Linked DNA regions of Drosophila melanogaster. The protein of the gene in region 1 interacts with the protein of each later gene in a pairwise test. Each region holds a gene or a part of one and is shown in the gene's direction. Other genes may lie near its edges.

The links. Proteins that work in one complex are often made in the same cells at the same time.
Region 2: the proteins of Cen (region 1) and Ccn interact in a two-hybrid assay, tested with the Drosophila melanogaster proteins (one large-scale study listed by BioGRID).

What each region holds. Positions count from the first base shown.
Region 1 is NT_033779.5:20,678,421-20,684,291, reverse strand, and holds Cen (centrocortin), read left to right. Parts: upstream 1-2,445; 5' UTR 2,446-2,673; exon of another isoform or gene 2,674-2,758; 5' UTR 2,759-2,799; coding exon 2,800-5,172; 3' UTR 5,173-5,371; downstream 5,372-5,871. Other genes in the region: CG2617 (uncharacterized protein), read right to left, coding at 1,019-1,843; IKKepsilon (I-kappaB kinase epsilon), read right to left, coding at 5,521-5,871.
Region 2 is NT_037436.4:17,687,944-17,693,412, forward strand, and holds the start of Ccn (Ccn), read left to right. Parts: upstream 1-2,071; 5' UTR 2,072-2,532; intron 2,533-5,469.

The sequences.
Region 1 (5,871 bases):
GTGTGGATTCATATTTTTGAGATACAGCTACAAAACGAAACAAAAGAAAATAAAACAAAACAGAAGAGTAAACGTGAAATTTTTCGATGAAACAATTTTAAATGAGAACTTTTTAATATTGCTATTAAAGGATATACATATACACACTAACATACATATATATTTTACTATGTAACGGATAGAATTAAGCTAGATGCAGCGCATAAAGCTTTATACAACAAATTGAAAAGCAACAGAAGAAATTGGCACAAATTAAATTTATATAGCATAATTAGACGTCCTTCGCAAGATAATGTTATTCGTAATAAGAGCGTCAATCGGTACATCGGGCGCTATTTCCCACTACACCCCCAACCACACAATAGATAACCTAAGCTATGTATGTACATTAGCTATGTATATCCAGCCCACTTATGCGCCTACTACTAGAAATGCAGAAAGCAGAAAGAGAGGTGAAACCTATAGACGCTATCACAAATGTCTATCTGATAGACATCGGTACTACCAATGCTATATTGCCAGTTGTGTAATTTACTCTTATTTGATCGTTTCATTTACCAGTTAAGAACCCAAATCATATAAGTGTTATGATGGAAGAACTATAACTTGCAATTCAATTAACTCTGCAATACGATAACAAGCAAAGCGAATCATTTCATTTCGATTTAATCTTTAATTATATATACTTAAACGATGTAAGCCCAAAACAAACGTTTTTTCTATATCTGTCTTTTGAGCAAATTAGTTATACGCAAAACCAAACCGTATTTACATAAATGTATACAAAACAAATCGTATATTTTCATTGGTTTGAAATAAATACATAAAACAATTTAACTTGTTTTACTTGATATTTTAGGTGTCTGGGAATTGAAAGCTGCATTAAAATGTTTTGTCTGTTCTGCTTTGTAAAGATTATTTGTTTTTTCTATTACAAGTGTCTTAACCAAAGACATTTGGTTAACTTCTGAGAATCATAATTACTTATAAGTTAAATTCCAATTGGCAGTCTTATATATCAAACGTAAACTGACAGGAACGACGTAATGTTGTGCCTGCAGACAGGACAGCGGTCTTCTAAAAGGAGCACGAGCTGCAGGGAGCACTCTTTGCAGAGGCAGAGGTGCCGGCATGGCATGACTACTACGTTCCTGCTTTGAGCCATGCACACGACACAGCGTTCTGGACTCGCGGATCCTGCGTTCTCTGACACATACCAAACATTGTGTATGAAGTGTTGCAATTTATGATGGGTCCATAGGTAAACGCTTTGCGTCTTCGTCGAGATTTCAATGCGTCCACGTTGCAGCAGGTAGATGAGCATCAGGTACACATAGCGGCGGAACATATAGAGAACGAGGAGCAGGGCCAATCCTATCGAGGCCCGGAACGCACTGTTCAGCAAGCTCAAGCCATGGGCCACGATTGAGTGCACCACAAAGTCTAGGAGGCAGTCCCAGAGGAATAGTATGGCCCTCGGCAGCAGCATCAGCAGCCACAAGATGCCATCACCCAGATCGATGAGTAAGTTGCAGATGAATCGGGATATGCAGTGACCAAAATCGAGTACATTCTTGAGCCCGCCTTTGGTGCCGCCGTAGAAGTAGTCCGCCACATCTAGCGTGATGAGGCCCAAGTCGCGGATGCCCTCGTTGATATTCCTGACCGCGCATCTCAACAGATTCCATCCTTTCCTGCTGCCCTCCACCAAACAGAAGCCGACGAGGTAGCTGCCCCACAGGAAGTAGTACACGCCAGTAATCACTGCATCAATCACGCTGGCCAGCGGACGCAGCAGGACCAGATCCACAAGCTCCGCTGCCCGAATTAGAGCGTCCAGCATGGCGGGGGGCTCATACTGTCCTCGAATTAAGAAAAGGAAGAAACACAAAATCAAAACAAGAACGCCGGCCGCTTAGTGTGACCAGGCGGTGGTTGGTAATTAAAGCCAAGCTATCGTTGCGATAAGGTAGCGTCAAATAATTACTTATCTTAAATATTTGTATAATTAATATATATATTTATTTTTAACACCCCACACATTATCGGTTGCACTTCCTAGATATATTTAAACTTAGATGGTATCTGAACTTTAAATACGCCAAATTCTAGGGTAACTTAAATTAATAATGTTCAAACAAATATTTTGCTTCTGTGAGCAAAGGAATTACTAAGGAGACATAACAATTTGGATTTATTAATTTTGACAACTATAAATATGCGTAATAATTAATATGGGTATTCATGTACTGATCTATTATGATATTGCATGCTTCTTTCAAAGACAATGAAAGCTCAAAAATATAATTATACATCCGTGCATTTTGCTGGTATTTCAGAATCCAACAAGGTTTCCCCAAACAACTCGCGAGGGGTTATATAAGAAAGGCGAGCTTAAATCATAGCCCTATCTGAGCAGGAATCCCCCTAATGCGAATAATCCTATTATAAATTTATTTCCGGTTCTGCTAGGAAGTTCATTTCGGTTCTTTGTCTGCAGGTCGATTGTGTATAATAAAAAGCATTAATTAACTATTCGTACATGCAGTTGCGCCCTAGTACGTAGGGCTTTTTCTGCACTCGCTGCAATACCATACTTTTTGTTTTTGGGGATGAAACAGTAAAAAAGTTACTGTTGTAGCAGTTTTCCACCATTGAGAGGACATTTGCCAAGTAATTACTGTTTGAGTTTTGCTTTGCTCACAAAGCTCTGCTGCTAAATGAACTAAAATCGATTAAATCTTTAAATTTTCGCCAGAGTTCGCATCAAGCCCAAGCTTAGAAAGGTCCAAGTCCAAGATGGAGGAATCCAATCACGGTTCGGCTGGCTGTGAAAACGTATCGCAGTTCATGCTCGATGACCTACAATTGGCAGCAGAGCTGGGAAAAACGCTCCTGGAACGCAATAAGGAGCTGGAAACCTTCATCAAGGAGTACAAGATTAAGGGGGATGAGCAGGAACTGGAGATCTTGCATCTGCGCAAGCACATTAATGCGATGACCGAGGTGAATGATTCACGGCTTAAGGTCTACGAGCAGCTGGAAGTGGGCATTCAGGATCTGGAGCGTGCCAATCAGCGGCTAAATCTGGAGAAGAATCGGGACAAGAAGCAGATTAAGACGCTGACCACCAACACGGAAGTCCTGGAAGCCCGCTGCGAGGAACTGAGTCAACTTCTGAGCGATGCTCGGCAATCCCTGAGCACCGAGCGGCGGAAGGTGGATCAGTACCAGCAGGAACGCTATAGGATGCAGCATTCGACCGAGGGTTCTGTGTCCAGTCACAGCATTCAATCGCTGTGCAAGGAGCAGAGTGTTGAGTTCTCCAAACTAGATGTTATGGCCATAGCGAACTCGACAGGATTGGAGGATATCTCCTTCAGTAATGCCACCATGTGCGAGAGGACCGCCGTTAAGGGTGAAGACAACGAGGAATTGGTAAAGCTGCTCAGCGAAATGGAGGTGTTAAAACGTGACTTCTTGGCCGAACAGCAGCGGTGCACCGAGCTGGAGGAGCAGTTGGTGACCATAATCCAAGACAACCAAGGTCTGCAGACACGTCTGCTGGAGAACAGTGCCAATGAGGGAACAATGTCGATGCACGAGGAGTTCAGCCTCCTGGACGACGTGAGACAAGGCCAAATGTGTAGTCGCTGCCTGAGGGATATTAACGAAAGCAACACCAATATGGATGATCAATCCTCCATTGCCCCAACCGAAGAAATCTACGAAGATGACGATCGCAGCATACTAAGCGAAAGCACCTCGAAATGCGATAATAGTGGTGCGGATTATAAGGAACGCTTCCGGATTCCCGAGGACCTCAATCCCAACTCTAGCGACAAACCAAATCCTTATCGGGACCTAGTCGAGAAATATGAAGCTCTGGTGGAGGTGAAGAGAACCTCGAATGCGGTCAAGAGCAACTTCACCAGCAATCCAGATGGGAAGACCATGACCGAGTCCAGTCAAGGCAAAAAATCAGAAACAATTGTTAACAGCTCAAAGGAATCTGACCTTATGTTGGATTCAACACGTAAGCGCACTCCAACCGAGTTTTCGGAATCAGAAACTACATCGTCGGGATTCTCGGATGAAACTAGCAACAAGTCTACGCAAACTGACGAGCGACCGAGTTACTTCCTTTGCTCAATAAGTAATGGAAACGATTGTAAATTCAGTATTTATGACGACGTCAGCCCCATTGAATCTCATTTCCGTAATCGCCCGGAGTACAGGGAACTCTTCAAGGAGATATTTGGAGTGCTCAAGAAGGCAGCTGATAATAACGAAGAAGACAAGCTTCCGTCCCTGCATGACGACGCACAGATTACAGAAAAATTACCCTTGGTGGCGGCCAAAGTACCCCCGGTAACACCCGAGAGGGAGGAATCTCCAGATGACTTCATTGACGACACACAGAGCGTCGTATCCTCAGTTATATCCAACCAGTCCATTGCAATGTCCGAGTGCGTTACCAAACTGGAGCGGAAGACAGCCAAAAAACACATCTTTGATGTCCGAAACCAACAAAACCAATCGTCCCTAACGCAATCCACTTTGTTAAACAGCTCCTCGAAGGAAACAACTGTCGGCGAACCGAATTATAAACCCATAAGGGAGAATGGCCAGATACTTACTCCACTCAAGCGCGAACCACTCGAATATCTAACCGTAGGTGTCGGAATCAAGAAGAAGAACCGACGAAAGCACCGAAACCAAAGCTCATCTGGAGATCGCATCGAATTGTTTAACTCCCGGGAATTTACTCCCAGGAACAGTCCTCTGGCCATGAACAACCGTGGTGGTGGACAAGGGAGCTCAAAGATGTGTACGGATACATTGAATGCTGAATTCGGACGCAGTAACCGCAGACGGACAACTCCATCCTCAAGCAACTGGAATGGCTCTCCCATGGTGATCTATAACAAGAATATGAATACTCCCCAAACTTCTCGGGGCCGAGTAATAGAGCTCAATGGCGTCGAGTTTTATCATAACACGGTATCGCAAGACTTACATAAACTTAAAAAGTTAGACTTATCCTACGCCGAAGTTTTGCGCCGGGCCGATGCCGGCGAACATGGACCCACAAGATCACATTCCCAGCGACAGCAACACAACGGAGCCAACATTCGCAAGAGTCATCATCATCAGTTTCGTCAAAAGTAAACTTGTTTAGAGAATGTAAATAAGCAATTAAACAGTGCATTCTAGCCATAGGGCATTCTACCATTTTTAAATTGTGTGTGCCATGCAGTCTAGTCCGCTTTTTCATGTATAGACAGTTAAATAACAATAACTAAATAACTATAATCGGAAATTTAATTTTATTTCAGCATGATAAAATAAATAATTTAATGACCTACAGAAATCTTACTCTTTCACGATATTCAGCCAAGTTTCAATAGGAATATATGTAGTTGCTTTACAAATTCAGATATAAAAAAGTAAACATTTATTGTTAACTTACAAAGTAAAGGCAAATAAAATATTCTTGCACTTTCATGATATGCCCGTCTAACTACTTTCCAGACTTCCGTTGGTAATGCCCAGTTTGCTAAGCAAACTTATTATATCGCTGTTCGTTCTCATGACAGCCATAACTTCCTGTTGCTGCTGCTGCATGACCCTTAGCCGATTCCGCTCCTCTATCTTGGCCAGCTGATTATTGTTGTTTATGGTCTTTGTGTCCACATCCAGCTTCAGCTCCGACTTAACGTGATACAACTCATCGCGTATTCCGTTCAACTTTCTTTCGCAATCGCGCACGTCCTTCTCCAAAATTTGAGTTTTAAGGTAGACGGTCTGAGCCAACTTATACCAGTCCGCCAGGCACTCTGCGATTTGTGCCACTGTCGGATTTACGTT
Region 2 (5,469 bases), on another chromosome or scaffold:
TTGTGTTTTGTTACCTTTTAATTTTGTTGATAATAAATGTGAAAATAATTTTAAAATCTCCAGATATACTTGAGCAATATCTAAGTATATTTTTTCATATTATGATTTGCACACTGAAGTAACACCTCGTCCAACTGGTCAAATATCAACTATAACCCACCACAAAGCAAATATAAATTGCCTGGCGTAATCCAAACCAGCACAACCACTACCAACAGCTAAGCCCACCAAAATCACATAATTCAAACATGTGTATATGTATGATTTAGAGAACACACATGAAAGACAAACAGAAAACATGGAGGAACTAGAGGGTAAGCCCGGCCGACATATTGAAATTCATAACTACATACAAAAACCAATTACAATATCAATTTAAAAGGGATTAAAATGGACCGGCCGGAGGCTTAAGCGGCTCCCAACGCCACTCGCCATCTAAGCTGCCGCTCCTGTTGGTCCTCCATGGTCAGAAGATGGCATATTTTGTGGCGTATTTAAGATTTGTTCCCTTCTAAAATTTGTGAAATTGCAAATTGTATTTGCCTGAGCCGTGACGAAACCCACAAACTTTTAAATTAAATTCTGAGCTAGCAGATTTTCATAATAAATAACGAGTCTTACACGAGTATAATCAGCCGTAATGCCATTGTGTAATGTAGAGATACACTGTATTCAACCAATACCGGGGCGGAACTTTCAACAAGTGGCGAATTCTTTGCGATTCGGTGTGTATTTTTGCATAATTTATTTACCCTGCTTGTTAAATCACAAATGCTGTACACAAAGAACCGCAATTTATGCGAGAGTATTGAAGTCTGTACACTGGACCAGGCCAAGATGCAATTTGGCTAAGTAAAGATGCCGATAAAGTGCAGTCGGATGGTGTGCAAATAGACTAAAAACATAAACTGCAGACGAGGCTAAGCAGCTCAAATGCATTAAATTTAAACGCTCGACTAAGCGGTTTAATTTGGAAAGTAGCAAAAAGCTTCGCCAATCTTTCATCGGACCAAGAATTCACTTCCTGTCCCTCCTCGACCACGTCCATTCATCGATTCGTCCATCCATCATGTCTATCAATGCCCGGGTCTTAGCCATGAGACAGATAAATCAGTTAAGCATCGTCATGTCAAGTTAACAGGCGATTACAAGGGCTTTACCTGACCAGATACGAAGCTTAAGACCATTGCGAGAGGTCAGCGAGGTTTAAGAGCATGTTTCAGTGAACCATTCGCCCTATTATCTATAATATGCAATAGTTCCTTGAACATAATGTTGGCCAATGAAAAAGTAAGCAGAAAAGAAGCAAAAATTTAAAAGTGGTATAGTCTCAATTAACTTAAGCACATATGTATTTGTAATCAAAAGCGAGGGCAATAAATCAAATAAGCTGGCGATTACAAAAGGCCGTCTGCATGCACCGATAGTTGATAAGCAATTGAGTGTGGGCGACGCAACAAGAGGATATCACGAAGGACACGAAGGATGGAAGCCTGCAGACCTCGGCTTGTTGATAAAAGAAATTAAACAGACAGCGCTGAAATAAAAGGGAAAACACAGAGGCAAAGAAGCATTAAGCCCACAAGACAATTGACAATGGGTGGGCCTGAAAATGGTTCAAGGATTCGAAGAGGGGTGTCCTTTTGGCAGGGGATCTGTGGCATTTGTCTCGACTGTCTCGTTGACATGACGTTGCGCGAATTGTGCGCCAGGATTGCTGTTGTGCGTTCTGTTGGCTGTGTTTTCGGTTTGCGAGTCGTCTGCCAACAAAGTGAGCAACACGCGCCGATGATTATGTTGCCGCTGACAACGACAACAACCACAGGAACAGCAGCAACACCTAAAGCAACAGCAATAACAGCAACACCAAAAGCAACATCAGCAACAGACTACTCCGAAAACGAGTGCCATTTTCGGAGTCCTGTTGGCGGCAAATGTCTTGTGGCACGAAGCTTTTCATTGACTAAAAGTGACGCATGCGCAGTTGGTCAGCCAACTTGGACTCCGATTTGAATTCAGTCCTCCGTCCTCAGTTTCAGTTCGTTTTTGTCACTCGTTCGTGCTGCACGGCACACGCGTCGTATGAGCGATATCACCTGGTCTTCTAAGACTGTTTTATTGGATTTTGGCGCAAGAAGGCAAAAAAGCCGGCTAAAGTGTCCCTCGTGGGTGTGTGTACGTGTGTTGCCGGAAATACTTTGAGCAATCGAAACGACAAAAGGCGAATAAAAAAAGATAGAAACCAAAACAAAAGTCTAAGCAAATTAACTTGGCCCATTCGTTGTATTGCGAGTATTGTTCTAGTGGTTATATTATGTTTGGGGTTTTTTGCCCAGCCCTCCTGCCAGCACGAAAGTAGGTTAATTGACGTGTGTTGCGGGCGTATCTACAAGGAAAATAATAAAAAAAAGTACCTAGAAGTAGAAAAACAAATACACGAGCAGCCAGTGAAGTGGTCAATTGCCACTGCCAGGGGTCTCTGAACCCCCTCGATAAATCAAAAGTGTGGGCAGAAAGTCCGGCTAATTTAAGGTATGTCAAATGGTATACTTATTGTTGAATATTTTATTATAATATTGCTAAAAATACAAGTTTAATCAACACTGACCGCAGTGTTAATGCGTTTATTTTGACGTTTGTGCCATTGGCTTCAAATAAATCTACATAATGTGGCAAAAATGGAGGTTCAATGCACTAGCAAATATCTATTGTTTTTAGTTGAACGAATTTTGTGCTGATTATTTGTTTCTACGTTGGACAATTTTAATTAGTTCGTGCATTGAGCAAGCATCGATTAATAGGTAATATATAACCCTAAAAAAATTTGAAGCACAAGTGTGGAAGTAATTTTAAACGAACGTCATTGTTTTATTGTTTTAAAAGCTACCATATTAAAGCGATAAGCTTCCAATTAAAAGTTAATGGGAGTGTTAAGTGTTAAATATTTGCATTAATGTGAGGCATTTAATTTTTTTTTTAGCCAAGTTTGTGGTGGTATGAGTAGAGTATGAGATAAATAGTTTCTTTTGTTATTATATTGCGGTAAATGATGTATTTCTCTTGATAAAAATAAAAATGCGGTATATTTTTTTAAATTACCCATCGAAAAAAAGTTTCGCATGCCAATGCGACAATTGACACTGCAGCAAACAGAAAAAAAGGACATAATACAAAGGGGAATAACATTGCGTAAACAAAAATAAACATATGCAAAATAAACTTCAAACAAATGTTGCCGCACCGAGTTTTGGGCCATCAAAACAAACAGAGAACACAAAAAAGGATAAAAACAGAACAAAAAAATTGAAACCGAAGTGAGCAACGCGGGGAAGTGGGTTCATGGTCGGTTGCGAATCGGTGCCTTAGAGGCAACTTTGTTGCACAAAATTTATTAATTTTTTTTTTCGCCAAGTGCGTGCTTGTGTGTGTGTGTGTGCGGTGTGTGTGTCAAATTTAAAAGCATTCTTTCCAGTTGCCTTTGGACGGGGGATGTCCTGGCAGCTGCCTTTTTGTTTTATTATTTTGCGGAAGCTGCGAACCAACATTTATAAAAAGGTTTTTCTTGCTCGTCCTGCTACGTGAGCCATGCACACACAAACACACCAACACACACACACACACAACATACATGCCCACACCCACAGACGCACATTGCTGTGCATTACCGTTATTTTATGACGGAAGTACATTTAAGCAGATTTTTTCTCACAGAACTCCCGCTCCCTTCAACCGAACTGGAAAAAAGGGCTGCCAAAAATGTACAAAAAAAAAAATTGGGAAACCGAGGAAATTTAAATATTTTCTTTTACGCTGTGCTTTTCATTTGCCAGTCTCGCTAAAATTTATGACCAACAAAATTGGAATATTCCCCAAAACAACAGTAGCAACAATAAAGCCAAGACAAAGTTCGCTTCGATGGCCGTAAAAAATAAGAAACCTTTACGAAGCGTTTCGATGAAAAATAACCATCCAGAATTTGAATCAAGTAAGAAAACATTGAAATACTCGATTAAATAAGCAACTTAATACTCAAAATATAGAAACAGATGACTAGATTAATTTTGTATGGTAGTGATTTGTTGTATTATTTGTATTTGTTGTATTTGTTGTGAAATGATGTATTATGCTTTTGATTTGAAAACAGAATGTTTGATAGCATATCATAAAATTTATATTAAGCCATTCCGCAAATTGAACTCGAGAAGTTATGAAAATGATAAGCTTCATAAACCAAATACTTTTCAAATGAACTCCTCCGCACCCTAGGCACATATTATATTAATTGAAATTTAATACAATTACCAGGCGAATGTGTGGAAAGCCAAGTGAAAGTCGGCAGCCAAAACACACATAAATTCAAGCCAAACACACACGCATTCCATGTTGGGAAGGCAAGGAGATTTCTTGCCAAGTAAGTGACTCAATAAATAAATTTACTTGCCAACTTTTTGCCTTGTTGTTGCGGCCTTGGGGGACTGATTGTTGCTTTCTCAAGGTAGATTTGCGTTGGCATGCTCTCCCCGTCGAAGGATCTGAAAAATACTGTAGCCGTAATAAACAACACTTGATCGAGGACGGGGGCACAAAGTTAAGTGTGCTTTACTGGGGCACGCGAAATAAATTTCTGGAATTTAACAAGATGAACGAGAATAGCAGGAGACAATTCTTTTTCAAAACGAGACCTCCTAATAAGATGTTGTTGAAATAGAAATTTGAGTAACATGCTGATTGTATTTATCGGAATAAATTGGTAGAGTATTCTACAACAACTGCCAATTTAAATCCCCGACTTTTCACTTATTTTTCATGAGCCACTTTAAGCTGTGAATTATACCACGCCAAGTATTATGATCTGATCTGAGCGAGGGTCGTAAAGCGGAATCCTCAAGAATACGAACTTGAATTTGCACAGCATTAGCACAGACTGTGGGGGTATCTAGAAAACAAAGACTGGGGTGGGAGGGCGTTTTTTACTCGCGCTTTTATTAAGTAAGTGAGCTATTCAAAATCAAAGCAGCGGAAAAATCCGCATCGCCCAGGGGCGAACGGTGTGGCAAAATGTGTCCGCCGATTGTCAGGCAAATGTCAAGCACAAGCTGCAGGCGGCTTTCAGCTTGTCTCACGTCTCGTTTCGGGCCCCTTTTCCGCATTTCCCGCAGATTTTCCCAGTACCAACACCAACACCAGCAGCAGAAGCAAGCACTTGCACCACCTGCAACAATGTGCAGACATTTATGGCACCAGATGCCGCCGGCAGCAGGCAAATGCCTTGCCATCCTTGAGTGGCATTGCGATGGCATTTCCATGGCATTTCCGTGGTGCGTTTGCCGGAGCGATGAAAGCGCATTAGCTTTGTCATTTATCGTTGCATACAATGCGCCATCTTTGTTGCCAATCCGAAAGGGCAGGACGAATGAAAGCGCTTTAAAGTGCATACAATCAGAGTTAAAGCCTGCATTTTTAAGTTAA